Oryzias latipes: one gene and its partners. The protein of the gene in region 4 interacts with the protein of the main gene of each other region in a biochemical or structural test. Links are inferred from orthologs where the notes say so. Each region holds a gene or a part of one and is shown on either strand. Other genes may lie near its edges.

Region 1 (8,391 bases), on a different chromosome or scaffold from region 4:
CAGTCTCCTTCTGAGTCAGGCCTGGGTCTGCTTTGGTCCTGGTTCCCCAGGCCCAGGCTTGGGGGGGGGGTTCTGGGATGGGCTGATCATATTTTAATGCCCTCCATCGGTGAGCAGGAAGTCTGAAAGACAACTTGAAGTCCAGACGCCACGATTCAGAGTCACCTGGATGTAGGAGGCCCTTCATTGTCCTGCATGCAGCAGTTTGTTGGTGTTTTATAGCTTTGCTTATCTTTATTTGCTTTACATTCTCATGTGCTTCTTCAGGGTTTGAGGCGCCGGCCTCCAGAGGATCAGAAGGAAACTTTGGAAAAAGTTTGTCAGTATCATATAGTTTCATGTTTGAAGATAGAAATCCATTTTCTGCCTCACTGTATTTGGATTTTAACCAGCAGTAAACATCACAGTGTAACCCTCCTTTATTCACTCTAACATGCATGTTTTTTACCTAAAGTTTTTATCCTGTTCAATTCAATTTTATGTATATAGCCTAATATTTACCACAATTGTCATCTCAATGAGCTTCATCCTGGTTTGAAGCTGGTCATTGTTGTTTTGTGTGGAAGTGGAATTTTGGGTGAAAAAAATCACTGACAAAAAAAAACAGATGTTAAGTTACTTTCAGTTGAATTTAAAACAAACAAACAAATGAGATCCTTTTAAAGAATTGCATTGAAAATAGCAAAATGCATTTTAATTTGAATTATGGTACCAAATACCAGTTACAATTTCAAATGCGATTGATTTTGTTTTTTTATTTAAAATTTTACTTTAAATAAAATGTATTTTTAAATTTTTCAGATTCATTTTCCAATCCGTTTGTTCCCTTTCGGGGTCACAGGCTGCCGGAGCCTATCCCCCCCGCGGGCGAAGGCAGGGGACACCCCGGACAGGTCGCAGGGCCACAATCACACACACATGCACACGTACACTCATAGAGTAACCAATGAACCTATGGACGGTGGGAGGGAGTCGGAGACCCCGGAGAAAACGCATGCATGCACGGGGAAAACATGCAAACAGAAAGGCCCCCCACTGGTGTTCTGGTTCAGGTCCCCCAGCCAGGACTTGAATCGGGGACCTTCTTGTTGTGAGGCAAGAGCGCTAACCACTGCGCCACCGTGCAGCCCATTTTCCAGATTGAATAGTAATTTTTCACATTGAATTGTCACCTTTGAATTCTGGGTGAAAACTCCCTCATGCAGACAACAACACGCAGCGCCACCAGCAGGAAGGTCACACGGCCGGGTCGGTGGTGTCGTAGAAGCGCAGAGGGGCTTTGCAGCTCCGGGCTCCTCCTCGCACGCTCAGGTCCACGTACCTGCACACGGGCAGGACGACTCCAGCTCATTTCCCTTGATGCTTTGGGATGTTTCCATGATGCCCTACCTGCACGACACTCTCCAGAACAGCAGGGTGTTCACAGCCATCAGGGTGGACAGGATGAAGAAGAACCCCTCCAGATTCCCATCTTGAAGTGAATTTGGGTAGAAGTCACCTGTTGGAGTAGATGTTTGTAGTTCACAGTTATTCAGGCTAAGAGGACAACATGCAACCTGCAGTTTGATTCCCGTTGCACCTCCTGAGACGGCGTGCACCAGCTGAAGGATGAGGGCTCCTAGAAAACAGCCCCCTCCGTAGGACAGGGTGAGGAAATGCAGGGAGATTCCTCTGATGTGGCTCGGGGTCAGCTGGAAGGAAATGAGGGAACCTGGCAGAGAGGACGGGTGGTTAGGAAGGAAGTCAGGAGGAAAATGCCACCATGGATGCTCCTTCACGCACATGCAGGGGTGACGAGGGCTTCTGCCACGCCCAGCAGGACGTACTGAGGCGCCAGGTGGAAACACGGCATGGACGACACCTGCAGAACCTTTCCAGACAGAGTCTGCTCCACCAAGGGGTGGAGCCTCCTCCACATCTCCGACACGCCTGCCCCCAGAACAGACAGAGCGGCACACGCGTGTCCCAGAGCTGGAAGGGGAGGATGGACAGGGGGGGCTGGTGAGAGAGGGGCTGCAGAACGAGGGTTGTGATGTCAGGAGCAGAAAGGGAGTGAAAGACACGCCAGAACTTTTAGAAGAAGATGCTATAAGCTCGGGTTTGAGTAGAAAGGCGAACTCAGCCGTACCTATGAGCTTTGCAGGAGCCAGAGGAGTTTTCCCCGTCGAGAGGAGGTAGGTGGTCACAAACTCAGCCAGTGGAGCCAGCAGCAGCAGGGGCAGGATGCTGACCACGTTCATGGTGCCGATGGGCAGCAGCAGGACGTCCAGGTGCAGGTTGGAGTTCATGGCCTGAATGTAGTAGCCGGAGGGGATCTGCGTGACGCAGGCCCTGTACAGCAGCTGCAGCCCGTAGAGAGGGAAGAGCTCCGTCAGGACTTTGACGCTCTCCACATGCCTCTCACTGTACCGACCGCCGTTGTTCTCCTTGGCCCGGTCCAGCCAAGACACCACGTCTCCACTCAGGTGGCGACGGTGGAGGCAGCACATCTTCAGAGAGTTCAGAAAGACTCCCAGCGTGGTCAGCAGAGACCCTCCTGAGACACACAGAAGAGCCAGGGAAGGATGCGAGCCTGCAGGAGCTGCTTGCTTTGGGTCAGGGCCTCCTGTCACCTTTTCTGGGTCTGTAGGTGAGTTTGCTGCGCGTCATGTGGATGGCGATGAGAGCCAGGAGCACAGAGGTGAAGGGGATGAGGAAGCCCAGGTTCTGAGCCACAGACTGCTGGATGTAGGCGATGCCCAGAAACACCACCGTGGAATTCAGGTTCACCAACCAGTAGAACCTGAATCCAGCAGAGCAGAACGTCAGACGTTTGCAGAAGCTGCAATGTCCACGCCGGGTGAGTAAAACCTGCCAACATTTCTAAAGAACAGGTAACAGCAGTCCTCTTGATTGTTGTCTTTTGTTGTAATATTCATGTTTTCCAACCTTTTGGATACAAAGCCTTCAGTTTTTAGCCCAACAGCATCTTCTACTGCAGGATTTCTCAACCATCAGCTTCTCCTTTTATAATAAAGCTGAGGTTAAGATGACATTTTTATTCAGATCAGTCTGTGCAGATGGAAAAGTACAGTTCTGTTTACGTCTGCATCTGTGAGGAGGTTTTGAAGCAGGTTAATTAACAAATTTGAATTTTTATAAAATTGCAGCATAAGTGAAGATGGACGGCATTGTCTTCAGTCGCTGTTAAAATGATTATTCTAGATCTTTCCCTTCAGTCTGTGACACATCATTATGAAAAGCCTTCTCATGAATTTGTTCATGAGTTCCTTTGGGGACTAAGATATCCAGAAATAAAGATGAAATTAACCAACTGAACCATTTTCTTTTATGGTTATCAGAATTTGTCATCACGCCTAAATACATTTTGGAGAATTTGACAAAATCTTGAGACATCTTTTATAATTTGTGGTCCCATTGAAAGAACACCTGACGTCAAGCGGTTCAGGGAGAACCTTATTGACCCGGTAGAAACTATATTCTGGTCTCTCTGGACGCTCTGCTTCCACGCCACCCACCAGTTGAAGAAGGACAGCAGCTGGTGTTGGTTGTAGGTCTGCAGGCTGTAGGCCCCCATGGGACAGAGAACGGCCCGGATGCCGCCGATGCCCAGCGCAGCAGCCAGGAGGCCGGTGTAGAACAGGATCTGCTGCTCCTGCGCTTCCAGCCTGTGGAGCATGTGATGAGTGTCGATGTAGAAATCCTCAAAGGGGAACGCCACCACAGGCAGCATGACCGTACCTAAAGAGGACAGCAGTGACGAGAAGACGGCATGGCAGCAGCAAGAAGAAACCGGACAACTGAGCATCAACTTTGAGGGTTTCGTGTTTTGTTTTTTTGGGGCCCTGTAATGTTTGTAGGAACTTCTCTTACCAAAGAAATGAAGAAGAGTGCACAAGTAGAGCACTTTAGTTCTACCTAGGACGGTTTCTGCGAACCAGCCGACCAGGACGGGGCTCAGGGTGCTGGCTCCGATGAAGCACAGGTTGACAGTTGCTGCCAGGCGGTTGTCGTAGCCCAGCTTCACGGTGCAGAAGAGAATCATGTTGCAAACAATCCCAAAGAATGTGAACCTTTCACACAACTCTACCAGCAGCACACAGATGATAACGCGGAGCTTTTTGCTGGGTTTCCTCTGGGATCTCCGCTCCGGAGGAAGACCCTGGGACAACCGTGGCGCCGGGCTCCTGCCCTTCAGCAGAATCTGAAATTCTCCGGCCGCCATAGCAGGAGAAGGGCCCGGCGGCGTCTCCGTCTGCTGAGGAGCGCTGAACTGAAAGAAGCTTCCTGCTGCTGTGTGACGCAGGCAACAGCGGCACAATCTGGAATCCCACAAGCTGGTGTGACACTGAACCACAGGCACTCGCTGACCGGCTGCTGGTAGATCTCCCTCCGAACTATGTGATCCTGATGGGAATCTAACACTCTGTGCAAAATTGCATCTAGAAGGAATGAGAGGTGGGGGTGATTTAGAGAACACCCCCAGTAAGTTGTTGGAACCAACAGGATCTCCAGCTTCAAGACAGTTACTGTTAAGTTATTGCAGAAATGATCTGAAAATGTTTTCCTGTTACAGTCTGGATCAATGAGGAGCTTCAACTCCCCATCATTAAAACCAGCTTCATTCCAGTCTTAGAATCTGTCTTCCATGTAATACTTTGGTGAACAGGTGTGAGGCTCCACGTGTTTCCAGGTGTGGAGCGAAAAGGTCATGGACATGAGCTCAGGTGGAGCTGCACACAAATCACCTCCCGGCGCTTGTGTTTGCACGCCACGTTAAAATTTAACCCTGAGAGATTTAAGAAAACCTCAAAGTCATGTCCTACGGTACTTAAGGGGAAAAAAGATTTGTCATTAACTTACCCAGAATGCATCAGTGCTTTGAGCAGCCGCGCAGTGTTGATGCACACACTCAGAATGTGGCGTGTCTCTGTGAAAGCGTGACCCGCTGCATGAGCTGCCTTTGGGCCCCAATTAGGCTCAGAACGTTAATTGGGAAAGAATAACAAGATTTCGGTTTCAACCGGGACAGAACTGTGGGATAAACAACCAACCAAGAACAGACATTCTGAAGCAAAGAATCTTTTTTAAGAAAGCTCTAAAGTGTGACATGTTTTTTTTCAAAATTACATCAAATATAAACTCAAAAAACATGTAGAGAAAGGAAAAAAGGAAAAGTATAAAAGGCTTATATATTTGTGGGGGAGTTTGTGCTTGTGTGCTATAATACTAACATATATCTTTGTACATAAATAAACTACATTTTAGTTGTTTATTTTGATGTATCTACTTTAATCGTCTAAATAAAAACGCAGAGGAACTGTTCAAATCTAAATTCACTATATTTATTTTCAATATTGCAAGCGTCATCTGTCGGATTGCTGAAAGTTGAACAAGACCAAAAAAGGGCGTCAGGCGTCACCATGGAAACGGAGACCGCGTGCCTTGGCTCTTGGAGGCGTGGCCTATCAAAGGAATAACAAAGTTTTTAAACGTTTCCCGTTTTCCTCTGTAAATCCACCGCTGAATGTCCGGAGCAGGACCGAAGGTTTTTTCTACACAGATAAGTCTTTCTAGAGATGAAAAACAATAAAACCTTAATCTGTGTGGCGCGAAAATACGAGCTCGTGCTATTCTTGCTAACTGTTTGCTAACGTTAGCCTAGCCTAGCTAAAGCGTCATTTTGATCCCGCTCTGCGTTTGTTTTCCGGCTTTCGTTGGTTCTTGTAACGTTTCTGAACACTAGTTTGCAACATTTAGAGGCTTCCACCGCAGAAATCTGGGTCCACTGACCGGAAAAAGGATGCCAAACTGTCCGGTGTCCGTGTCGGGGGGGTTCAGCTCAACCCCGGTTAAGAGCAACCGAACGACGGAGCTCATAGCCGGGGAGTCTACCGGAGACGAAGACACGTTTTCTCTGCTGTCTCCCATCTACCACGACAGCTTCGACAGCGACGGAGAGGAGCTGAACTCCAGCCCCATCCGGCTGCAGGGACCCGGGTCTCCAGACAGGTACTGCTGGTCCTGGTTCTGGTTCTGGTTCTGTCTTTCTTCCATCATCTCAGCTTCTCTGGAAGCATCAGAAAGTATCTCGTCAGCAGCTGCAGAGTCCTGCTGATCTCAGGTTCTGCTGAATGGAACATCTGGTCTCTTTTTCTTCCACTTCTTCTGTGGATGAGAGGAACCCAGACAGAACCCACAGAACATCTCACTGTTCTGATGTTTGAAGGGGATCGGTTACTAAGACAGTTTTAAGCTCCGCAGCTCTGATTCTGTCTGTTTCTGAAGCTCTTCTAGATGTGAGCTTCCTAAATCTTCTCTGGAGCCGTCTGCATCCCAGCCGTCTGCATCCCAGCCGTCTGCAGCCCAGCCGTCTGCTGCCCAGCCGTCTGCAGCCCAGCCGTCTGCTGCCCAGCCGTCTGCAGCTTCTCTCAGCGCGTGGGAAACATGGGTATTGAGCAAAGCTAAAGAGGAGCGACTTAAACTGGAAAAGAAGGCAGAAGAAGTAAGTTTCTTGTTGCAGTTCTTTCTCCGTTCCTCTTGCTTCTTTCTTTCACGTCTCCTCATCCTGTATCCCAGGAACGCATCCTGAAAGAAAAAGAAGAACAGCAGGAGAAGGAGCAAGAACGGAAAAGGATGGTCATGGAAGAGAAGATTCAGGAATGGCTGAAAGTGAAAAGAAAACACGTAAGAAACAGTCAGTTTCAAGTGATTTTAGTGACATGGTGATGAGGGCTGCAGTCATTCTCTGCGTTCACATAGAAGATGCAGGAGCAGCTGGTGAAACACAGAGCAGAGGAGGAGAAGATGCAGAAGGAGATGGAGAAACAGAGGGAGGTTGAGCAGAAAGCTCAGCAGAGGTATAACGTCTGGCTGCAGAAGAAGAACCAAGAAAAACTACAGAAGGAAAAGAAAGAGAAGGCAATAAGACTTCCTGGAAACCAACATTTCTCAAGGATTTTTCTCAAAACTGGGTGAAAAATCTTCATGCGTCTGACGATCTAACAGGAAATAGCAGTCCTGAAGGGGGAGCAGGAGGAGGAGCGCCGCAGGAGGGCAGAGGAGAAGTTTAAGGAGTGGCTCGCTAAAGCCAATGAGAAAAGCAGAGCGAGTCCCGAATCCCCTCGTCACCAAACGAGTGAGTTCCCCTGAAGGACTCACCAGAGCTCCTGCCTGAGATGCAGCCGCCGTTTGTTAGTCTGGATGTTTACAGGAAGTTCAGAAATATGTTTCCTTTAAGGTCCCTACGACAGACTGATCCCAGCTCCCAGCTTCTACAACCCAATCCCCTGGAAGCCCATCCACGCCCCTCCGGAAAACCCGCAGAAGAAGACGCCTGTCCAGGGTCAGGGTCACCGCGGGGCTTTAAGACGGTCAAACGCTGGGAGCACGCCGCGTCTGCTGCAGAGGAGATGACTTACTGTGTGGCCCTCAGAGGCCCCGAAAGCTTCAGAAGCTTTGGAAATCAGAAAAGCCTCTGAAGCCTCAAAAGCCTTTAGAGGTTTCAGAGGCCTAAAAGCCACAGAAACATCTGAAGCCTCAAAAGCCTCAGAAGCTTCATTTCATCATCTTTGGAGCTGCTGTCACATTCAGTCCATATTGCGATGGATTCATCCGTTTTTCAGGATGTCAATACTTGACTTTACTTTGAAAGTAAAATAGAAAAATAAAAGTGATTTCAGAGTCCGGGATCATGTTTTCTGTCCTCCAGACTCTGAACTTGTTCTGTGTTTGCATAAAAGCTGCACATTCAGAGCCCGTCTGGCACACAAAGCTCCTCTGAGGTCCGGTGATGCAGCAGAAGGAGCCGGCTGCTCAGCGTCGCTCACACGCCGCCATTGTTTGGCGTCCGGCTGGATCTTCTGCGGGCTGAGGTGACAGCAGGGAGCAGTGTGGGGGAGCGCAGGGAGGTCGGAGCGGCGTGCTCCGTCTGGTGAAGGTAAAACGTTGATGTTTGTTCCAGAGCGCCTGACGGGAATGTGTGGACGAGACGGCGGTGAGCGCCAACAGCTGATCAGATAAAGACCTCCGTCTCTCTGCTTCCTCAGATTTATGGGAACATGGAAATGTTTAACCAGCCAACGGGGTCATGAATTATTCACAGACTTGTTCCTCCTTTTCCAGGTATCGCCACCTGTTTGGACAGAAAACTGAAGCTCCAGGATGCAGTGGTGCATGTGGGCTGGCGGCTGGAGGTCACACCTGCAAAGGCAGGTAGTGGGCGTGTCCATCATAGAATGAAAGTGAGAAGTCCAGAGGGCACAAATGCAGGCTGAAGTCTGAGGCTGGGATGAAGAACCGGGCTTTCACCTGTCAGGTGGAAGGATTTGGATCCTCCTGAGGGATCCCCTCCTTTTCTTCAGAGGGAAACCACCGGTCCTCACTCTTCTG
Region 2 (7,612 bases), on a different chromosome or scaffold from region 4:
TATTGATTATTTCATTACGTTGAGATTTGTACAAAGCTCTCACTTTTTCAGAAAAGTTTGACATTTTTGTTTCAACAAACCTTTTTTTTCAATAAAAAAATGTTTTAAAGCTTTTTTTTGAAAGTATGTATCAAAAATGTTTAGAGAAGCTTATTTCTTACATTTTAAATCAGTTTAGAAGCCTGTTGATTCTTGGATCACACAGAAAAAGACACAAATATTTGTTTTTATTAAATAACCTCAATTTCTGTTCAACCTCAGAACAATTTGAATAAATGTGTAATAGAAGGTAAATTATGTTGGAGGAAAAAAAGCAAAACTGAACTTGTTGTTTACGGTCAAACAAAGCACTTTACTCACCTACAAGTGGAGTCATGGCTGAAGTAAAAACAGAGCTGCTTTGGACCACAAATGTGATGCCTGCACCCACAAACATGGCAACGTATCCTGCCAGCCACCCAAAGGGATAAGGCAGGTCTGTCAGGATATAATTAAAAGATAAGTATTAAAAAACTGTTGCACAGTCTAAACAACGCTTGACTCTTACCAAATGATGTTTTGAGGTTTAGTACTTCTAATGGCACTACTGACTTTCTGCTGCTCACTTCATTAACTCACCTGTGTTAATGACTTTATGGATGACCTTTGCTACTTGGCCTTTAAGAAGAGAGTTAAGCAGCTTGACTAGAAGTAGCAGACATGAGCAGAGGACCACCAGAGAAGCAGCCAGGAGAATAAGACCCACCGTGAGGTCTGACAACTCAGTGGATGCAAACAGATGTTTACCTACAAAGAAAACAAAAACACAGATTTTGAGATTTTTTTTCACTTCATTTTTATCTTCTAAAACGTCAAAACACTGATGTTACTTGCATTTAACACGTGACGACGATGGAAAATCGTTACTTCCACAGTTGTCAAAGCTCCCATTGCCAGCAGACTAGAAAGAAACAAAGAAAGAAAGAAGCCATAGGTAAGGATGAGGAAAAGGTTTGACTTTAATCTTCAAATGCTGCATGTGAGACAAAATGTGCAGGAAAGAATGGCACAATAGAATGATTACCTGGCACCATTCCTTCACCAGGCTCTTGTTCCTCATGCCCTCATTTCCCATGGCAATCCCTGTGATCACACATTTCTCTAGCTAAGAGAAAAACAAGAAATTGTTTTAAATCATAGTAAAATAATGGGATGAGAAAAGATTCCTAATTATTTTACCCATTTGACAAGGCTTTACCACAGAGTTTAAGGTGCATGCAATGTGAATAAATGCACTGATGTTTTACCTGAACGCCTATTCTTACAATTATAAAACTGTTTTTATCTGGTGGTTTAAATTAACCTGTATTTAAAGTTACATTGCAGTCGGATAAATATTTAGAAAAATTGTCGGCAACATTTTTAAACGTCCTATAATTGGGTTGAAATAAAGAAATTTAAAGCTGCAATGTGCTAATTTTAGCAGAGTTAGGGTTAGTTAGGGTTGGGGTCTCCTTGGTCCAAGCAAAGATGTTTTTTTTAAATTTGGAGTTTAATTCCAGAGGAAAAATGTATCACGCCATATCTTTAACTTAACTTAATATACTTGTTTGTTTAATAAAAAAGAAACAATCTCTTGTGTTTTGTAACAGATAGATGATTAGCACCACATCCAAAAGTGTTGAAATTTAAGTCTCTCTCAAGTTGTGTCCAAATTCCTTTTCTCCTCACTACATAGTGTGCCATGTACTGTAGTGCATTTGCCATTTTTTAGCCGTTCGAATCTACAATTCCAAAAGTTGGGAGGGGCTGTAAGCTAGCAGGACGGCATGTGAACAAAGGGATGATAGGAAGGCTTACTCCACGCCAACATACCCGCCCACAACTTAGAAGTGAATTTCTAAGGAACTGCTACCGCTCTGCAGACACTATGTCCTGGAGAAAACATCCCCAAGTATTTGATTTTTGGCTAAAAATTGCTTAATCATAATTAAAAGACTACTGGGAATGCTTTTACAAAAGATCAAAAGATGATCGGAATGGAATTTTAAATTTAGAAGTGACATTGTTGCAATAATGCTAAAGGGCAAACCTTAATTGTTTGTAAAAACAATATTCAGAGATTTTGAGATAGATGGTACGTGTGATTATTTCAAAGTTCTGAATTTGGGATGCCATAGTTATGTCAGAGATTAGCCCTTTCTCTGTTATGGTGCCTGTCAGTCTCCTGCCCCTCCCCCTCCTGCTGTGCTCCTGACTCCACTAGCTGTTACCAATCCACCTCATCAACCGCTGCAGCTCTAAAGGAGATCCAGCTCCAGTATTCATCGCCAGTTCGTTGCCCCTTATGGTGACTAAACCTGGTCTCAGTCTTGCTCATGTTTTCAAAACTTAGTCTTGTCTCGACGCCAATATTATTCCCCTTGTCTCAGGATTCCAGCCTCCAAGTGTCACCTGTTCGGAAGTCAGATCGTGCCCTCCTGCGTACCTGTGGAAACTACACACTCTGCAAAGCCGCGTTATTACCTCCAGCCACGCCTCAAGCCGCAGTCCTCATCAGCCTCATTCCAAGCCACTACCATCTCTCCTGGAAGAAAAATAAAAACTCTTACTTACCTCTTACCTACCTGTGTCCTCATTCTGGGTTTCATTATCTGGGCCTGTCCATCCTACAAGTCATGACATTCTCCTCATTTTAAGGAGATACTGGTAGAATGACTCTATCTCCCACAGGCCACAGAGGGTAAAGCAGGCCTCTGTGACCCTAATTAAGAAAAGGGGGAATGTAGAAAATGGCTAGATTGTTGTCGCAGCAATGTGTCTCTCCATGATTGCATTTTGAAGGACAATTTTACAAAGTAGGATATTGAGAAAATGCTGCCTAGCTGTCATGTTTACCTGTATGATGAGTGTTGTTACTGGCTCAGTGATGACCTTTAGAAGCTCGGGGGCATCTTCTCCTGACTGGATTTGTAAGATGCTAACCAGGAGGTGGGACAGCCGGGTCATCAACCCACTCACCGCCTCCAGAGGCAGCAGGAACAGGACCGACAGCCAGTTGAAGCAGTCATGGATGGTTGCTCCAGCAAAGGCGCTGTGACAGGTCAAGAGAATTATGTTCTTTGAGGTCAGCCACCAATAAACGTGATCATTTACTCAAAGTAATTGATCCTAACTATGATTTTTAGGCCTGGACTACTCTGATTTTGAACTCCAGTGAAGGTTTTCATTGTTGACTGAGTCCAAAACATTAATATATTTAAATATGTTTATTTAAAAAATTGTAAAATAATATGCCATCTGTTGAGCCTAGAGTTATACCAGATATTTACTGCTGTAGTCAATTTGGACTGATGCCATTATTATCACGATTTTGAAATTACACTGAAACAGAGGTTAACAGTGAGAGCCAGCAAACAACTACCAATGCTTTCTCATCATCCCCCCTCGCTTTGTGCCCTGTGACTTTCATTACTTTTATCATTCCGTCTTCCATTTTTTTTTCTACCTACTTACCACTGGACTGATTCATTTCCATCCTCCCTGCTCCTCTGTTGTCTGTTCTCTGCCTTACCACACTCCTCACTCACCGCTGAAACTCATTTCTCTCTGCAGCTTGCATCATGGCCACTATGGTGTTTGTGACAGAAGTGCCAATATTGGACCCCATGATGACTGGAACTGCCGACTTCACTTCTAGCACTAGGAGAAGACGAAACAGAAGGTTTTGTTTTACATAATAAGATCATTGTGTCTATCCTCATGCATAGTAAATAAGCTAACTGCAACAGACAATGTATACATGTCCTCCACGTATAATTGATATGCACGGCGTGGAGTGTTTTGGAGCTGACTTGAGGTTGAATAGACGAGTGGTGATTGCGGTTTTAAAACCAGAGGAAGCACTCTCACAGGAGGGGTTAATGTTGCATGTGCCCTCATTGATATAGCATCCCGAACCCACTTCATGAAGAAATACAGTACAGACCAAAAGTTTGGACACACCCTCTCCTTTAAATGAATGGGAAGGTGTGTCCTAACTTTTGGTCTGTACTATATGTTTATGTTTTTTTATGCTGTGCTTTCCCATTTAAAAAAAAGGCCTCACAAATAGCTTCTTCACACTAATGCTTCCTTTCAGAAGAAAAACGTGGAACATGTAAAAGTCTTAATCCTTTTTTATTACTTATTAATGCCACATATCTTAGGTTTCCCAGGTCAGTTTTGAACAAGGACATCTCTTTTTTTAATGCAGTCTATATAAATATGCCACTAAAAGTAAACACTTTCATTGCAGCATTAATGTATTGTTAGCATTTTTTGTGCTCAGAAGTTTCAGAAACCTATTTATGCATCAGACATTTTTCATTACTCATTTATTTGAGCATGTAGTTTGATCTGTAACAAAAATACCCTGATTATAAGTTAGTGTGCAAACACTTTTGAAATGATTCCTTTCAACAAAAAAATTTAAAAAATTAATAAATTAATAAAAAAAATTATTTACCTTAATTTTTGATGTTTTCTGCAAAGTTTAATCTGAACTGGAAGTATCAAAAATATTTTTAATCTACACTCTTTAACTCATAGACGCCTGAATTTATTTTCAGGATTGAAAAATACATTTCACTCGTGTTTTTTCTTTCAAGTAGATGCAAAATGAAGGTAAGTCTGGAGCCAAAGAGGTGTCAAGGGGTTATCAGACCTTTTTTTCAAAATATATATATAAATATTTATCAAAATGCTCAAATATAACTTGTTATACTTTTAAATGTCTATATGAAATCATTATTTAGCCATCTGGAGACTAAATGTCACAATTGCACAATCAACGCAACATTTGTGCAAACTGCTGTCATAATTATTGCATGATTTTTATTTCAGAGCTAAAGGGAAAATCATTTTCCAAACAAATGTGCGCCAGCGTTTTACATTTTTCAGAAGCTGTTTTGGCTGTACAAAAAATAAATACCAACACTGATGGACCCACAGACATCCATTACCGCTGCAGCTGATACAGAGGCATGAAAGTGCTCAATATTTTGGCTCTCTGTGTTCATGTGACATCAACATGTGCATTTTTATTTAGGAAACCTGTGAAAATGTAATACAACCATAAATAGCTCCAGTGGCGTCAGCGTTACCCTTTAAACTCAGTCATAGCTGCATGTTTACTTTCACAGTTTTAGACATTTAAATATCGGTTTGCTCTGGGAATATTTCCGTAATGTTGGTCTTAAATAGAATGAATAGAAAGTCTTTTAAGGTCTTATTATAAGTATAAGGTAAAATAATGATTCTACCTTTACTTTTATATTAATTACTAATAAAGAGGAAATGAAAGAGTTGACGGTTCAGCTGCTTCTTTAATCTGCACTAATAGACAACTAAGGTTTAAACTCTGCAGGGAGCCAAACGTTTGTTCTGCGAGAACAATGGTCTTTCTGGCCAGGACATTTCACACTTGGCGAGCAGATACAGAGAAAGCTCTGTGATTGTATAGAGAGCTGATCAAAGTGTACAGTCACAGGACTCATCAGTTTGCACTAGAACAACTTTAACGTCTATAGACCTGGCGTCCGCATGTGTGGACATCACATGTTCGGTTATTTTACCACAGTAAACTTCTGAGACGTTGTGTCTACGTGTGTTGAGAGTTCGCTCAAATATTTGTTCAAGTCTTAAGAGGTTAATGCATTATTTTAGCCTTGTGTTGGTTGTCTTCCTGATCTTTCTAAAAATGTCAAAACATGCGAAACAAACAATCCTGACAGTAAAGCTCCTCTAAAGTCAAAGATTCAATAGCGGCTTGCTATTGAAATGGTCAATAATTTAGCTTCTAATTCAAAATTTAAAAATGCTGTGTATAAAAAATCAATCCAAGTGCAGTAGGATTGTCATTTAAAGAGGCAAAAACTGTAATAAAATTCAGAAAGTTAACCTGCCTACTTTTGTGTTGAAGTTAAACCTTTTTACTTTTGCATGAAGAGAATCTGACTTGCTGATGTGATATGTTTGACCTTTTGTCATCACATGGTGGATCACACGAAATTTTGATTAAGCTATTAGAAATTCGCTGCAAATTAAATGAAGAATAACAAGAACAAAGATCTCACTATTACAGAGCAAAAAGCAGCTTTAAATTCTTCAAAATCTTAGTAAACGTTTGTCCATTCAGTGTCATTTCTATTTACTAAATTAATCTTTTACATCATGGGAGAAAAAAGGATAAGAATTTACGGTAGCTTCTCTAGATAATACAGTCAGTGATTACTTAAACAGCCAGGCTGTCAGAATCAAAATATTTATTTGTTGCTGCCATCAAAGATTCAGCATCGACTATTTGCTCCTAATTGATTTATCAAGGTTTTCGTATTTATTGCTGTATCTATTCATGGGTAATGATAGTCTGCTGAGACACACAAGAATGAAAGGATTAAGCGCGCTGAACACAGACTAGATGATGCTGGCTCGGATGCCTTCTTTCAACCTCAAAACCTTATTTAAACTATGAAATATGCTGACATTTTTATATAAAACTCGAACGCGCCTACTCACATCCGGAGGCCACCAGGCTGACAACAATGGAGGTGGAGGTTGATGAGCTCTGAACGAGCACAGTAACCAGAATCCCCACCACCAGGCCAGCCACGGGGTTGGACAGCACCGCATTGTCCTTGAAAATGTCCCCTGCCACTTTACCTGGTTAAATATGCCACCCACATACACAGAAACACACAGGGACAGAAAAAAAGACCGGGGGATGAAAAGGTTGCCATGAGCAATGTTAAACATGACTCCAAATGCTTGTTTCCCCAAATTTATGAAGGTCACAGATGAAGCTTCCCAGTACATCACCCAGAGGGACTAAGGGGAGCAGCAAAGGTTGCTCCTCTGTGGCTATAGCTTATTTGTCAAACATCAACTCACTGAGTGATGATCGACACAGTGGGTGAGCAGTGAGAATTACACTTACCCCCTGCCAACTGGAAGGCAGAGCTCAGAGTGTCCAGGGAGCAAATAAAGAAGAAGAGAAGGATGAAGAGAAGAGGGACCTTGGATAAGTTGATAAGGAGCTGTTTGATCTTGTGTGGACTCACTTCTGAGGTCTGAGGGGGGGCTTCTGTAAAAAAAAAAAAAAAAAATCAAAACAGGTAGAAGGTTGTAGATAAAACAGCACAATGCTCAAGGAGTAATGGCACCGAAATCTGGAATTTTTCACGCAGCTGCATTTTTCTTTTATTCTCTGCATTCTGGGTTCTGGGTGAGAGTGATAACTTGAGCCACATGCAGAGAACAAAGCCATCTTCCATGCACCATTACCCGAGTGCAGCCAGACACCACTGCGGGACAGTATGGCCACATGGTCACACTACGGCTGTGTCTTTTTTTTTTTTAAGCATGTCCTTGTCCGATAAGCCTTTGGCTCGGCTTCTGCAGTTATAATTAGTCTTTTCAAAGGAAATCAAACCAGCTGCCACTCCTTGAGATGAAAGTAAGATACTCCTATTGATGACCATCTTGTACCGTTCTCTCTGGGAAGTCTGTCTGCCGCTCTGAACGAAGGTGAACCAAAGGGCTGATTTGTATGTTTGCCGTCACCCTTGCTGCTGCTTGTGAGGTCAAGGGTGGA
Region 3 (7,612 bases), on a different chromosome or scaffold from region 4:
TTGTCGTGCGTGTAGTAAGTGACCTTAGGGTGATACCGTAGCTTTGTAAGTGGACCTAAGGGCCGGAAGAATGTCCACACAAACTACGCTCTGATTGTCTAATTTCCTCATTGCTAACAGTCAGGCTGCAAGCACGAAGCGCAAACTTATCATAAAGAGCACTCAGGGGCTCCTTGTTCAATGCATAGTATTTAGGGGGAACTGACAAAAAAAATCTGCATGACGTGCCCGCGTCTCACCTGCTTCTTCATAACTTAACCTTACATGTTGTAGAAGTGGTCACTACGACCTGTCACCTGCAGTATGCCAGTAGGAAAAAATGTTCATGAACATTTTCACTCTATGGGGGTCTACGACCTTGATGTTTTGAGGCCTGTGTGCCCCGTACAGGATTGCCCATTTTTCATCTCCAGACAGCCAACAAGGGCAGGTGTGACTAAAATTGTATGCTTTTTTTCATAATGTTGAGCAGTAGTGTTATCTCTCTGAAACATTTTTCGTGTGTTGATATAAGAAGGATAAAAATTTACAGCCCTGAAAGCCCGGGAAATAAATGCAGGACTCGCCACAGTAAAACACATTACTGTTGCTGTAATCTAAGCTCTTAGATTCAGTTGAAGTTTATTTAGTTTCTGTCAAACAATAAGTTAATGAGCTCAGGGAATAAAATTTTTACTTTTTCTTTGCCAAAAAAATACGAAATTGATCTGAAATGAATGGTAATACTTATTGAAAGTGTAATGTAAAATCGATAGAAACAGGAAAACACTCAAAGTAAAACCGGATTTGTATGTGTTAATGCTGAGTGTGTAGGTGTAACTTACTTCCTAATGTTCTTAATTATTGTCTCCATCACCTCTTCCCAGCCATAGGCTTTGACAGAATGGATGTTTTCCATGATTTCTGAGGTGAGAGCCAGCCGACGACTGGTGAATGCAGCTCTCTTTGCGCTGTTCACAGGAGACAAGAAGGCAGCAGTTCAGAGATTTCAAATAACCACCCCCTTGTATTTAAGACTGATATTAAATAAGAAGTTATTCAAAGCTATTACTATTTAGAAGACAAGGGGCAGACTCAAAATTGTACTGTTGGTACTGATGTCCAGTATAGTTACAATGAGCCATGAGTTCTTACCGAGGAGGCGTCATTGTCATCGAGAGCCAGGCTTGGAAAATTCCCAGTAAGATCATGGCCAATAAACCCCAGAGGGAGTTCACCTCAATCAGCTCCCAAACCAGACCCGCACACAGCATACACTGCAGGGGCGTGATCCACACAAAGTGTGCAAGACCCAGACTCTGGAACGCACACCAACACATGTTGTATTTGTTTGCATTGCATTTTGCAGAAGACAGGGTCACTTTTCTAAGTCCTGTCCTTCATGACATCGCCTTAATCTTAAACAAAAAGTGTTGCGTTACCACACGTCTTTGATGTGACTCTGTGGGATATACTGCAAAGTGAAAGGGGGATGTGAAAGTTGCATGCTACACTGAAATCGTCACACAAGAACGTTAAATAAAGAACGGCCAACTCCTGCATCTCTTTGATCTCCAAACAGCAAAACTACACCAAACCAGTTATTCATATTATACAAGCCAGATGTAAGTCAGGTGATAATTGTCCCAAAGCAGGCACAAAGTGTTTCTACATTCAACACCTCAGTGAGACTTTAGGCAAAACAGCTGACAATCCACACAGGTCTTCACTTCCTACACTTACTTTGCATGGATACGGTTTTCTCAACACTGTCACAACAAATGACGTAACCTTTGTTTAGGTAATAAAACTCAGTCATGTATATCTGGTATTGTCTTCATTACAGAGGAGAAGGCTCTGGTGGTAGCATGGACACTGAGAAGAATTTTAAAATTTGACTTTCATGGGAAACAGCCAAAGCGTATAATTATTAATGGTTATTCTGATTCTGCATGTGCTTCACAGATTTCAAACTCAGCTTTTGGGGTTTTCTAGCGGATCAAGTAAACTTTTCTTCTCATAGGAATGTCTTGACTCTTACCTCATCCAGCTTGTTGAGGTGGGCAGACATCAGACTGACGAGCTGGCCTGTGGTGATCTTGTCCAAGACTTTGCTGGAGAGCTTCAGGGTCTGGAACGTTGAAATGTCAGGGATCAACAAAGGCACAAATGTGAAAGTAAACTGGACTTTGAAAAGTCAGACAACTTGTGCGACACTTGGGTCATGCAAGAAGATTTTAGGAAAGGTGTAGCGTGAAAGGATTTAGGCCAAGGACATCCAATGTAAAACAGAGGGAAATCCATTCATCTAGCGAGTCTATCACATGACCAAAACACATCTCAGCAAACACATTCCATTGTGGCTTTAAGTGTCAGAAAAGGCTAAATTATAAATCGGTTTTAGAATGAATGGCAAATACAATTTAGTGCCTTGTCCAAAGACACTTGAACTGAGACTGTGGTAATTATCAAGCCATCAACCCTATGAATTAGAGATGACTGTTTCATCTCCGAGGTACAGCTGCCTTCATCAGTCACAGAAGGTTAATGAAATACAAATTTGAAGTGATCCCACTTTGTCATGTTTCAGCTTTCATGGTCTTGCTGTTTTGGGTTCAGCATCCTGATTGACTGTTGACCTTATAAATCAACCTCCTCTGTGCCGTGTCTCTTGTGCAAAATGCTTTCCGCTTTTTACATTTGCTTAAAGCTTTGCGATCAGCTTTTTGTTTTCATTCTTTAATGCTGGACTTATTTTTCAATGAAGGTTTGAACCTTGACAAAAAGTGTGAAAATGTTCATGTCTGTCTGAGAAAAGTGTATAAAGTGTGTAATTTTTAAAGTAAAACAAAGTGAAACAGTTTGATAAGAAGGTAGATGAGGTTATTTCCAAATTGAAAGTATTTAATCTGGCTCCCAACTCGGACATTCAATTTGTTGGCCAGATTTGGTGTAGCCTGCTTTCAAGTGGTAGGGGTGTGGACTTTCCACTCATGAAAATCTTTGACAGTAGTTTAAAACCCCTGTTTTCCTTTTTTGGCTCATTTTGTCAAATAATGTTAAATAGATCATGTTATCGTCATCTACCACAACTCTTTACACACAGTAAGTTGTGTTGTGTCTTTCACACAAATGACAAAATGCCATTTCAAAGATTTAATATCAATAGTATTGGATTTTCAGCTAACTAAAAAACATTTGAGATCAAAATACTACAGTAAACTATCAACTTTTTGGGGTTTTACTCAAATATTTGAATAAAAATCCATGCACATTTCTAAAAGAAGAAAATCAAATGTTGTTGTCAAACATGTACTGTTCTTACCTTCTTGTAAATAAGACTAAAAAGAGCAATGCGAATCTGCATGCCAAGGTGATGAAGGCCGAAAATGGCGGGCTGCAGGAGAATGAAACGAGCAGTGAGGAGAAGGCCCAGTCCCAGGGCCAGGTAGTATCCCTGCTGTCGCTCTGGAGAATGGAATGGATCGAAGGAAGCAATAATGCGTCCAGAAAGCTGAGGCTGCACAGTCTTTGAAGCTTCCTGCAAAGTCAGGTAGATTGTCACGCTCCTCTCCTCCTCAACATTCTTCTGCATTTCTGCTGCCAAAGCTGAGTATGTTTTCATTGTAGTCAATTTCTGATCATTTAAATGAATCCCACTATTATTAACACAATCACAAATGTTTTTCGTCTTCAGGTTTTGTTTTTATTGGTTTTACCAGCATCTGTTTCTTTGGCTCAGCACTGACTGACTTTCTTTTGACTTAATTGATTTACAAGAAAAAAAATTACCAATTGTGTTTTAGCAATTCAGTGTTTGGAATGAAAGCTTCTATTTCAATGTTAATTCAATGTCAACTTCTCTGTACCTTTTCCATCCAGTGGCTGCTCTATAGGATGCTCAATAGAACTTGTCAACCAGGTTTTTGGAGAAAGAACAGTTCACTGGAAGTAATTTACCTTAAGAAAACATGATTTTGTTAATCCCCTTCCCCTTATACATGTGCACAGACAGGAAAAGTCCATCGGTCTGGACCCTGTCTGCTTAATTTGGTCCAGATTGAGTCGTGAACCTTGCTCTTGGTCTGTACTCAGACTTCCGTGAAGCGGACATTTCAGTTTCGAACCAAGGTTTGTAAACAAAAGCACATGACTGAGGATCTACTCAATCATTGGCCATGAATTACGAGGGTGGGGCAAAACAATGAAAGGCAGAAAGGATGACTGATTCAAACTTTATATTTCGCAGACCAATTCTGAATGTCTGTACAACACCTTGTCAGGTACAACACCTTTTACTTTGGGAAAGTGGAGGCATGCTGCAGGCCGATTGTTGGCAAGAAGACGGCTAAGAGGGTACACTGATAAGTGTTTATGACATATAGATTGTTGGGAAAACTGTGAGAAGCAATTTTAGTTAAAGGTAGGTAAAAATTATTCTAATGAGCCAGCATTTATCCGGCTACATTTCAATGAGTTGCTGTGTCTTGTTATGGCTTCACGTATACCCACAGCTTAACTACTCTGTTTACAACCCATAATGCTCACCGAAGGTGGCTTTTTTGGTTCAGTTGTTCTGAGAAAGGATTGTATTCAGACAGAAGAATCTCAGAGCGAACTGAAGCTCAGTCCGATTGGAAACGAACCAAGACCACCTCCAAATATGGGTCAGAGAGCGGTTCTTGGTCCAGGACCAGGATCCACTTGAGTGTATTCAGACTGAAAATTTGTTCTGGATTGTCGGAGGAAAGGAACTGTGGTTGAGTTTAAGCAAACCAATTGTGCCGTCTGAATATATCCTCAGATTCACAGATTAATGTAAGCAGCAGTGTCCATTTTGCTCTGTTTTGCTGCTGATCAATTGTCCTCATCAATGGAGCCCATCCCAGCGACTGTGGGGTGAAATTGGAGTATACCTGGACAGGTCCCCATTCTAATGCAGGGTCACACATTCTCATAGAAAGTTTTGTATGATGCCCTGAGATTGTTTCATTTAGATGAAGACTAATCCCTTTATCTTGGATTATAACCATTCTATTTAATAAAGACATCCCAACTGTGTTTAATCAGACTTCAGAATCTTTCTGACACTCACCCCGAGGTAGAGAAGGATACCAAAGAAGGCGAAGGGCAGGAAGAAACAGCGAGCCAGTGCTTTCAGCAGCCTGGGCCTCTTGGATGACACCACCTCTCTGTCCCATTCTCTGCAGGGTGTCAAGAGTTACAGCACACTTTAGCAGCATTCAGGCAGAGAATAGCACATCTATCATCCACATGTCAACCAAGATGGACTCTACATGCCATTTGCATGCTACTACTTTGGCAACAATCTAAGTTCAGGAGCAGTGTTGCCAGATTGGGTGGTTTCCTGCCCAATTGGACAGTTTTGGTTTCTATTTGTGGGCAAAAATTCCTTTGGGCAGGTTGACATAATTTGGACGGGTTTGGGATCGGTTCGGTGGTTTTTCTTCTTCATCAAAATCCTTTTTTTACTAGGAACCGTGCAGTCAGGGGAGGCACGTGAAACAGTACCACCCATGTCATTGTCCTCGCCATAATGAGCGACTAATAATAAAATAAATATCTGTTCACTAATCTGTTCTATAAATACAATTTGTATGTATCATTTTATCTTTATTTTCCCTAAAAGCTGTGCACTTTGCGTATTTCTTGTTAAGCTACAGCGCAGGCTGTGAGGTGAAGCAGCACACGGGTATGTAAAGGGTTTTTGGTAGAGGTCATTGAATTGGACTAAGCTGATGCTGACAGAGCGGCCGACAGGGTCATGCGTCAGGAGAAGGTAAAGTTCACATTCTCAGAATCTCTGCTCAGCTACTGAGGCCAAATGAGGCCAAAATCAACCAGTCATTTATCAGCTGGTGAGCACTGGGAATCTTTTAAAGGTTAACTTTTTACCACCCATGAACATTAACTGGTTTGTCTGCTCCATTCAAAGTGAGAAAAGGCTGAAAGGATGGAAAAAGCAAAGTGGGATCCATCTCTCTGCAGTTGTTGGGAAAAGTCAAGACAAACAGATGAAGGGGAAAGATGGGACTAATGTTCCGGTTTTGTAACAAAGTGAAAAATGTTCTTAACAGCCATAAACAGCAAGAATTTAAAACCTTTGTTTTTAGACATTCAAGGTATTTTACCAGGTTAAACGTTGTTTGAACTTTTTCTTTGCTCTAAGCTTTTCTCAAATAGTTGAGAATTCTCGTTAACAGCTAGGATCAAGAAGTTAGGAAATCATAATAAAAATAAGTTAAAATCATTTTGCTACATACTCCTGACAATAGAAAAACTTGATTTAAAACTCAAAAATTATCAAAATAAATGTTGACAAGTTAGACTGGCATTCATTGTCATTATTCCCATCCAGATTTCTGTTCAAAGAACAAGTGCCGGTTTTAGATTTTATGAGGGTTTATTGAGATGGTCCAACTAAGAACTTAGTCACATTTAGTTCACATTTTATTTTAAAATGAGTCATTTCCGCTAATTACACTTTTTTATCTCTGTTTGAACTACAATCATACATAAAACTCAAAAAACACAAACCATGTGTTAAGAACAAGCAAAAAAAAATCTCTTACTACTGTCATGGATAATGTTCAATTTGAAGTAATTCTATCCAAAAGTGGCATATAGCTCAGTTTTTCCTTTTGAGTGCTTGTGTCAAACCCCTTGTTTCTGGAATGTTTTATCTAATAAGATTCATTATTAAGTTAAAGTTTGCTGCTGCATGGACAGATCATTTTGGTATACTTCCTTGTGATTGGTGTTCTTTTCCCATGTTCACACCGGGACGAATTTCGCCGGCGATTTTCGCCGACGTTTAACGCCTCGTGACTAAACAAAGGGCACCAACGAGAGTGTGCACACCGACGCGAAAAAACGCCAGGCGTTAAAGCGTCAAAAAAAAAAAACGCCTCGGGTTCGTTTTTTTTTTTCGACGCGTCGCGTCGAAATCTACTCGACCAATGAGAATGGCGCTTTTGCTCACGTGTCTGGAGCTTCTGAAGTTACAGTAAAACACAACTTGGGGGCGCTCAAACACAAAACTGCCTTGCTGAGCACACATACCAGCGAAGAAGATAGACGCCAAGTAGCGTCTACACAACCGCGAAGCAATAATGACGGACATTCTAAAATATCCCCGAACCAAGTACCAGTTGGAGCTACTGGTGCTTGAAATATTCATGTTTTCTTTGTTTGATTCTGACAAGCGTGTAAATACTTGCTCTCTTCTTCTGAGTGAAAAGCGACTTTAAGAAGCGTAAAGTTGCGCAGCGCCACCTTGTGTACAGGAGTATTTCTGTTTTACATTAAGCGCCATCTAATGTCAGGGAATGAAATTGCATGTTCATTCCACTCATCGTCAGCGAAAATCGCCTGGGTGTGAACACAAAAAACGTGGCGAAAAACGCTGGCGAATAACGCCTGGCGAATATTCGTCCCGGTGTGTACGGGCCTTTAGGCTACTTCTTTTTCAGTGTGAGCAAATATATTACAGCAGAAACAACCAGAGGAGCTACTATGAGACCGAACTCTTGGAAAGCCACTACTGACCTTAACAGAGTAACAAAAGCCTTAAAAAATGCTGATCTCTCCTAAATTCCAAAGAAAAACCGCT
Region 4 (8,179 bases):
GCTATAAAAAACATTATATTATTGTGGCCTTGCCTGCTTGTTTGGGCTCCTCTCTGAGCACGAAGCCAAATCCGTCAGGTCCTTTAGTCAGGTTGACGAGACGCGGTTTGTGAGGGAGAAACTTGACGGTGGCCAACCGCGACCCCATTTTTGCATATTGGCTCCTGCAGACCTTGTCTGCGTCCTCGTCGAGCAGCAGAAACATAAGGGTGTTCCCGGCTTGTTTGATTTTATTCACCACCTGTTCGTGTGTGCAGTCTTCCACATTCTCTCCGTTAACCTCCAGCAGGCGGTCTTTGGCTCTGACGCCTGCCTTGTGTGCCACGCCTCCTGGGCTCACTTCTGTAATGAACAGACCCTCCTCATCTAGAAATCAGTGTAAAAACAACAACAAAAAGCAACATTTTAGCCACCATTTAGACAGAAAAAGACTTGTTGGGATGCTAGTGATACTTCACAGTACATTTCTCTTTCCACCTTCCAGCATGCTCTTTGACCTTTTCAGGTCCTAAAAATGTTTTGCAGCAGTTTGACTTTCATCATTAATACAGTTAGAAAGGCTATATGTGGATTCCCTCTCTACCCCCTAACTCAGGGGTGGACAAACTATGGCCCGGGGGCAAATATTTAATCTGGAATAAATTATTTGGATAATCCCAGGCCTGCCCAATCCTGTTCCTCAAGATCTACCATTCTGTCTGCTTTGCAGCTCGTTGCACTTTCTCCCTGGCCCAGGTGTTCAGCCAATAAGAATAAGGTGACACCTGAGTCAGCTAATCAGCAGAAAGCAGTCAAGAGAGAACTGGAAAACACGCCGAGTGGTAGATCTCATGGACCACCATTGGGTCGCTCTACATGGTGCACAACAACTTCATTGACCTTTGTTCAGGTCCAGAAACCTATTACTTTGCATTCATGTGGTGTTGGAAAATTGGTTGTTTCTCTGACATTCATGTGTGTTATTTTCCGATCGTTCCAACACGACTTAAACGCAGCATTTTTCTCAGTTTGCGTTTTCCCCTGAGGGGCATCGACCCATTGGTGCAATCACCACTAAAATTAGAACAAATAACTCCAAAAGGCTTTGTTTAGAAAAACATATACACTGAATGTCAATCATGACAAAAGCATGTTTTTGTTCAGTTTCCATGTTATTTCTATATATAATTAAGTGGATCACCAAAACACTCCATGCATCTGCTCCTGCTTCGGCCCTTCTGTCAAATTATACTGTAGAACACTTTGTGGCCCAGGGGTGAAAAAGTTTGCCCACTCATGCCCTAACTTCTAAAAAAGATGTCATGCAGAGATTTCTTGTGCCCTGGATTTGAAAAGCGATCCGAAAACCATGTGTACTGAGTAACGACTTCCCGAAGTAAAAACCTAATAAATATGAACATTTTACAATGAATCCACTGTGTTCTGATGATGAAAACTTCTTTTGTTTTGAAATGAAAAATCTTTCAAACGCAATGCATTATGGTCTATATTTGGCAACCTAGTAAGAATCGATCTGCACTAGTTTTTTGCAGAGACTTCTGGGAAATTACTAGAGCACTAAATGATGGAATTGTAGATTTGGACACCCCGAAAAAATGGCGAACACAACTATACAGTTTACTAAATAGTGAAGGGACTTCGGACATAAACATTAGCTTTAGGAAAGGCACTTCCCAGCAGTGGAAGACCTCTTTTACCAGCAAACACTGACACCAGCACAACTGGATGTAATTTCGAGTGATCACATGGAGGAGAAATGACAGCAGTGTGGCATGAAAGCAGCAACAACATCTGCTCATGAAACTCATCAAACACATGACCCACATGCAGCACTGACACCCCCTCTACTTGTTTCAGTAATTTACCTTTTATAAACGTAAAGTTATGTATCTACAAACAAAAATGTTTGTCATTTGTTTTTTTCCAGTTTATACAACAAATATTTCCTTTTTTGGCGTCTTTAGTTTAGTTTGTCTGCAGATGGTTATTGGTATTGTTCTTATTGCATTAATTATGCGTAGGAACCGGGGCAAATGTTTTAAAGATCATCTTTTGAGTTATTTTCAAAGTGTTCCCAGTGGATTTTTAATCATGGCAATGTCCAAATTCTTTCACTACTCTGTTCTGTTATTAAGTCTGTTCGCCATTTCGTAGTCTGTGAAGAAAATGTATTCAAATTAATTTTTGAAATAAAAATGATCAACGTCTATTCTATTCTATTCTATTCTATTCTATTCTATTCTATTCTATTCTATTCTATTCTATTCTATTCTATTCTATTCTAATCTAATCTAATCTAATCTAATCTAATCTAATCACCACCATGCACCTAAATTCAGAAAACTGGATTTCTTTCTAACAGATTAGATTTCTTTCTTCAAGTTAAGGTAAAATTTTTCTATTTACATTTTCTTTGGTTAAAAGTAAAAATTTGTTTCTAGAAAAAAACTTTAAGTATAATTAAATAAGATCAAAACAATTTACATTTTTATATTTTTCAAACTTTCATTACCTGCTGTGAAAAAATAAAAAAGGACTAGATGAAGAAAGAATTGCATCAAAGTCAATTCTTTGTGTTTTCTGCTGGTGGTCATGAAATGTGTGGACTATTACTGTGTTATAATGAAGATCAATAACATGGACCATTTAATACTAGATGATTGGAGATCATGCTTTACTCAAGCTAAAGATGTTTCCTACAGAATCACCCTTCTGTTACCCTCACTGAGGATACGAAGGGGATTTATCTGAAGTTCCTGATTCTGAGCTCACCGTTACTCGTGAAAAGAGAAAACTCGAATCCTGAAGCCGATTTCACCAAGTAGCAGAGTTTAGGTTTTGGATCCCCTTTGGCCACTCCGTTGGCAATGACCTTTGACCCCACTGTGCTGTGTTGTTCAGAGAGGTTGACCCCTTTTGCCTTTGCTTCCTTATAAGTTGACTCGTCCATAATGTGGAATGTGACTGATGTTCCGCTGTTTTTCACCAGCTCCACAACCTGAAAATAAAAAAAAAAGGGACAAAGGAAGACGTGTTTGATCCTGGATTATCAAGGAGACGTTACGAGGAGCTCACCTCCGTGTGGGACAGCCCATCGACAAATGTTCCGTTGACTCGGATGATGCGGTCTCCGTCTTTGATGCCCGCCAGTTCGGCTGGGCCTCCCATTTCCAGAGAGCGGATCAGGTGACCCTCCTCGCCAAGCTCCATCCTCAAAAAGAAGCCGAAGGTCTGTCTCGGCTTTTTAGTCAGAGAAATCACCCTTGGCTTGTACGCGGCCATGTCTGAAAATAAAACAAAAAACATCACTCATCAATTTAGGAAAAACATAAATCGTGAAACCTAAGCACATGAAAACAAACTTTGAATCGACATTTTTAGTTCATTGAATGCTCTAGCATTATGAAAAACAATAATAACAAGTTTGGTACAGCTAATTATTCATCTGTTTTCGTAACCCTTGTGCTATCCTAGGCACTTTAAGAGTGGGAGTTGGGTCATCTAGACCCACTAGACAGTGCGCTGAACATGTCAATGCAAGGGTGGCGTCATCTAAGATGGCACAAGGGTTAAACTGCTATATCCCTTTCGGGGTCATGGGGTTGCTGGAGCCTGTCCTGGCTGCTGTTGGGTGAAGACGAGGGACACCCAGGCTTCAGAGTAACCAATTAACCTATGAAGCATGTTTTTGGACTGTGTGATGAAGAAAAAACCCATCAAACTCCAAAAAATAAAAGTGCAAACTCCACACAGAAAGGACCCAGCTGGGATTTGAACCAGTGCCTTCTCACTGTGGGGCAAGAGTGCCAACCACTGCACCACTACACCACTGAGGAGCCTGATCTGTCTTACTGATGCTAAAATCATCAGTTTTTATCTGCTCCCACCCATGTGTCATTGGTTTAGTCTTGTAAACATAACTAAATTACCAAATAATCCTGGACATAAAGCTGCCACAGAAGTGCTGATAATTCCAGATGAAGAGTTAATCTTCCATGAAAGCTTTGGAGCGCCGGTTAATAGTTAATGGGAGGCACAGCTGTCTACGGAGCATGCAGCACTCACATGGACATGCATAACAAGGACTGTCAGAGTCATTCCCTTTGTGTGCTGCTATGTCTGTTTGGACGGGTAAAGTAAGAAGTTCACGCATGCTAAAGACAGTCATCGTCACAAAAAATGTTTCCTTTCATTTATACAAAAAATTTTCAATCTTTTGGGGTCAAGATGAACATAAATGCATTTTTTTTAAATAATATAGTATATAAAGGAAAGTTGTGGCTTACAATACTTATCATCTATCATTTTTTAAATTAATCTAAGGACATTTCTGAATAGAGTCAGTGTACAACACATAAAATGTACCAAAACAAAAATAATCAAACAAAAAATCGGATCCAGATTCGCCATACAAATTACTTTAAAATGCATTTTTTAAAAGCGTGCTCACTCACCAGCTCTCACCTGTTCAGTGTCCAAGTCTGAAGAGAGATTCCACCTGTCACCGATTACCTGTTATTGTTCCCTCGGCCTGTCCCCGACCCTCCTCTTCATCTCTGAGCGGGGACTTTGGCGGGCCAAAGGTGGACCTAAAGGTTGAGTTATTTAACAGTGTCTTGTGTCGTGAATGTCTGGAGAGGCAATGGTGCTGTTCAATCTGCGCCTGCAGAAAAGGCAGTCACCTGCTCTGTGGTCAAAGGTCCACCAAGTGGGCGGCAATTAAGCAATTACAGTTCATGCATCACAGAAAACATGAAGTGCGTGCCATCCGTTTATAACCATAATAAAAGATTCTTTTTTACCAGCTGTTTTTTTGAATGCGCTTTAGGAACATAGTTTAATCCCTTAATCTATAGATTACTAGTAGGTTAAATATAAACCATAAAAGTTGTTTTTGTTCTTATGTTTTTAGTCAGAAAATAACAAAAAAAACCACATTCAATTCAATTCAATTCAATTTTATTTGTGTAGCCCAAAATCACAACAACAGTCGTCTCGATGGGCTTCAAAGTAAAACGTGAACTCAAAAGGATCACGAATACAAAGCGTTCAATAGGAAAATACTAAAATGAACTAAAAAAACTGACTAAGCTAAACTGGCATCCCTGCCCTTAGACACCCCCCACATGGACTCAGCCCTGCAGCAGCTCTATTATAAATCCTTGTTTTTGTTTAACTTTAACTGACTAACTTCATTTTTTGAGGAATTTCTTTAAAACACCATTTTATTTTATTGTTGTGTTTTGAGCAACTTTGCAAAGGACAAAGCAACAAAAAGCCACATCCTCCCTTTTTATTTTTTGGAAGAGTTGGTCCTCACTTGCAGACTTAACCAGATTTTGATCTTTCACAGAAACAACCTGCAGCTTAGAAGCAAAGGCTGCACTTAGGACTTCACTCTGTAAAGTCAGGACTTTTTCAGCAACATTAACATGACGTCCAGGTGAAGCTTGGGTGGGGCCTCCTGTTTATATGGTTATTGCATTCCGACAACAGTGTTGTGCAAGTTACTTCCAAACTGTGTTACGTAACAGATTGCTCGTTATGTAAAAGTAATTACTTATTTTTATACTGTCTCCGCATTGTATTGTGTGCATTAAGTTTGTTTCTTTGTAAAATCTTGAGATGTGGAACATTAAATCTGAAGCTAAAAATGTATAGCAGAGCAATTATTTTATAGTCACGTAAGGAGCAATATGATTTAATCATGAATAATGATCATTTATTTTTGGTCCAATAAAAGCACAGGAAAAACCCTCAGCTTTAAACATCTACATTGAAGAATGAGGGGGAAAAAAGAGACTAAAGGGAGAATCTGAGGCTTTTTTCCCTCAGAAAGGCTCAAACAAATTCTTCCTACTTAAGAAAATTGAAACAAAAGTGGATGAAGGCCTCTTGTGTTAGACATATTTTACTGTTACAACATGGGGTTATGAATCTTCTGACACACAAGGTGTATATTTGAATTAACCCCATTTGTAATTTAGACTAATTTTTATTTATATTAATTATATTTGTGTTCTTTTGTTGGACCGGACTGAAACCTGATGTTCTGTAACAACAGGACAGACAGATGTTAGCTTGGTGGAAAAAATCAGAATGGTCGACGCCTATACAGAGCACATATATGAAAGAAAGTGTCTGGGTCTAGTTTAGATAACCCTTGTGCTATCTAAGATGACCCCACCCTTACATTGACGTGTTTTTCCTACCATGACAAAGGTGGATAAAGGTGGAAAGATTTCATGTAATCCATGGACACCAGTGAAGATCACAAATCATTGAAGAAAAAAGGTTCAATGCACTGTGTAGTGGGTCTAGATGACCCTACTCCCAATGTTAAAGTGCCTAGGATAGTACAAGGGTTAATCAGATTTGAGAGGGACCATGTACAGGAGCATCAGTCAAAGAAAAGGGACATGGTACCAGACCATAGCTCTCCATCTGCAGTCCTCAAGACGTACAAATACAAGAATTAACAATTAGCATAAAACAACACATGGCAATTACCTAAAAGGTACAATCATTTCGTAATATAACAAGACAAAACAAAAACACTACTTCTCATAATACATTATTTGAGATCATTTATAGTTTTGTAAATACTGTTTTACTTCTTAAAATACTACATATTTAAAAATGCTGACATGTCTGTTTGTTAAAAATAATTGCTTCATATTCGTGCCAAAGGGAAGTTTTGAATCATTTTAAGTGCATTGGTAGTTAGTAATAAGAAAATGCTGATTGGCCTGGACAAGAACAGTCCTTCTTTAAGGTATCCTGCACTGGATCTTGTTGTTCTGCTCATTTCTTCGGATGTCAACCTGGCCAAGGTTTTGAGCGCTGGAGGAGCCGTTATCTAAAACAACAGCCGTAAATTTGCTGTTTGTTTTTTAAAGCTTAACATTTGAAGTTTGATTAGTATTTTTGCAATGATGACGTTGTCGTGATTCTCCATCAAGAATCCTATAAGTGCTTGTTTATTGATGGATGCTAGAGGCTTAATCGTTGTTTTATTTGCTGTCTATGAAACTTTACAAGAAATTGGGTTCAGTAAGTTTGGCCAAAATGAATAAAAAGCTTGAATTGAATTTAAGTGATTAAATACAAACTTTGAAAAATTGCCTTTTGGATGGTTAATCTATTGTAACACACACAATAGTTAACCTTTACTCAAAATGCATTATTAATACCCTACAGTACTTTTCTACAGCAAAACTGACTGTAGTATGTTACTTTTGTAATGAGTTGCTCACAACAGACTCATCTGGTGTCATTAGAAAATAAATGAAGGATGATAAAATCTATAAGCATCACATAGAATTGTTCCAGAAATATGGGTTCTTTTATTGGAACATAAAAAGTATGTATTACAAAAAAAGTACTATTAATTTAGAAAATGCAGGCTATTTCTTTGCTCTCAAATGAACTTGCACATGACATCTATGTCACAAATGGTAAGCATATCCATGATCTCTAATGTTTCCATTTACAAAACCTTTTAACGTATGCATTGAATCTGCGTGAACGGCCTTCACTTTTCTGCTTCTTTCGTGGCACTCTGATACTTTTTTATGGCACAAAAATTCTCAACAAGAATAAATCCAAATACTGTAGTTCAGGCTGGAGATGCATAGATTCCTTTCCCTACATTGGAGACGTGAATCATCTGTGGCAGCAGCTGGAAGGAACGTGAATCCGGTTTTCCCCACGGATCTCCTGGTACTTTTGATGGAGAAGTTGAGCTCCAAACAGCAGGAGAAACATTTGGTTGCATCAATTACCCTCACAAACACACAAAAACATGCCTGAGCTGTATGATAAAAATGCATGTTAGGATATTATTGCACAGAACTTACATTATACGAGCATAAAAATCTGAGAAAAAGGTTAAAACACAAGTTATTTAAATTTTTGGGGCCTTTTGGTACCTAAAAAACTTTTTTTGAACACTTATTCTATTATTCCTTTCTCAGCATTATATATATATATATATATATATTTTTTTTTTACCATTTACAGTTGATTCTAATAATGTACCTTTACATTTTTTTTTATTTGTGGTGATGCATGATCCCCATTTTTTTGAAGAGTAAATCCCAGCTTCTTTTTTACTGATGATTATTTTGTTGTTCACAATAAATCTGAATTTGTGCCAAAAAAACCTCAAACAGTCAAT

The links.
Region 1: the proteins of pdzk1 (region 4) and slc15a5 interact in a test that uses a peptide from one of them, tested with the Homo sapiens proteins (2 studies listed by IntAct, with this or other methods). The link is inferred for Oryzias latipes from reciprocal best matches to the Homo sapiens genes PDZK1 and SLC15A5.
Region 2: the proteins of pdzk1 (region 4) and slc34a1 form a complex in vitro, tested with the Homo sapiens proteins (2 studies listed by BioGRID and IntAct, with this or other methods). The link is inferred for Oryzias latipes from reciprocal best matches to the Homo sapiens genes PDZK1 and SLC34A1.
Region 3: the proteins of pdzk1 (region 4) and cftr form a complex in vitro, tested with the Homo sapiens proteins (2 studies listed by BioGRID and IntAct, with this or other methods). The link is inferred for Oryzias latipes from reciprocal best matches to the Homo sapiens genes PDZK1 and CFTR.

What each region holds. Positions count from the first base shown.
Region 1 is NC_019864.2:31,086,125-31,094,515, forward strand, and holds slc15a5 (solute carrier family 15 member 5), read right to left. Parts: upstream 5,255-8,391; 5' UTR 4,226-5,254; coding exon 3,519-4,225; intron 2,783-3,518; coding exon 2,613-2,782; intron 2,537-2,612; coding exon 2,129-2,536; intron 2,014-2,128; coding exon 1,783-2,013; intron 1,712-1,782; coding exon 1,580-1,711; intron 1,499-1,579; coding exon 1,390-1,498; intron 1,322-1,389; coding exon 1,237-1,321; 3' UTR 1,037-1,236; downstream 1-1,036. Other genes in the region: ccdc34 (coiled-coil domain-containing protein 34), read left to right, coding at 5,804-6,012, 6,289-6,505, 6,580-6,687, 6,763-6,921, 7,009-7,138, 7,241-7,416. UniProt on the Homo sapiens protein: Proton oligopeptide cotransporter.
Region 2 is NC_019868.2:16,453,217-16,460,828, reverse strand, and holds part of slc34a1 (sodium-dependent phosphate transport protein 2A), read right to left. Parts: coding exon 7,507-7,612; intron 7,103-7,506; coding exon 6,956-7,102; intron 6,682-6,955; coding exon 6,538-6,681; intron 3,682-6,537; coding exon 3,570-3,681; intron 3,074-3,569; coding exon 2,878-3,073; intron 1,145-2,877; coding exon 1,064-1,144; intron 941-1,063; coding exon 874-940; intron 787-873; coding exon 619-786; intron 478-618; coding exon 361-477; intron 1-360.
Region 3 is NC_019864.2:3,312,806-3,320,417, reverse strand, and holds part of cftr (cystic fibrosis transmembrane conductance regulator), read right to left. Parts: intron 5,184-7,612; coding exon 5,075-5,183; intron 3,521-5,074; coding exon 3,305-3,520; intron 2,111-3,304; coding exon 2,021-2,110; intron 1,299-2,020; coding exon 1,135-1,298; intron 951-1,134; coding exon 825-950; intron 1-824. UniProt on the Homo sapiens protein: Epithelial ion channel that plays an important role in the regulation of epithelial ion and water transport and fluid homeostasis. Mediates the transport of chloride ions across the cell membrane.
Region 4 is NC_019879.2:25,367,728-25,375,906, forward strand, and holds the start of pdzk1 (Na(+)/H(+) exchange regulatory cofactor NHE-RF3), read right to left. Parts: upstream 4,618-8,179; 5' UTR 4,455-4,617; intron 3,285-4,454; 5' UTR 3,283-3,284; coding exon 3,076-3,282; intron 2,999-3,075; coding exon 2,773-2,998; intron 367-2,772; coding exon 34-366; intron 1-33. UniProt on the Homo sapiens protein: A scaffold protein that connects plasma membrane proteins and regulatory components, regulating their surface expression in epithelial cells apical domains.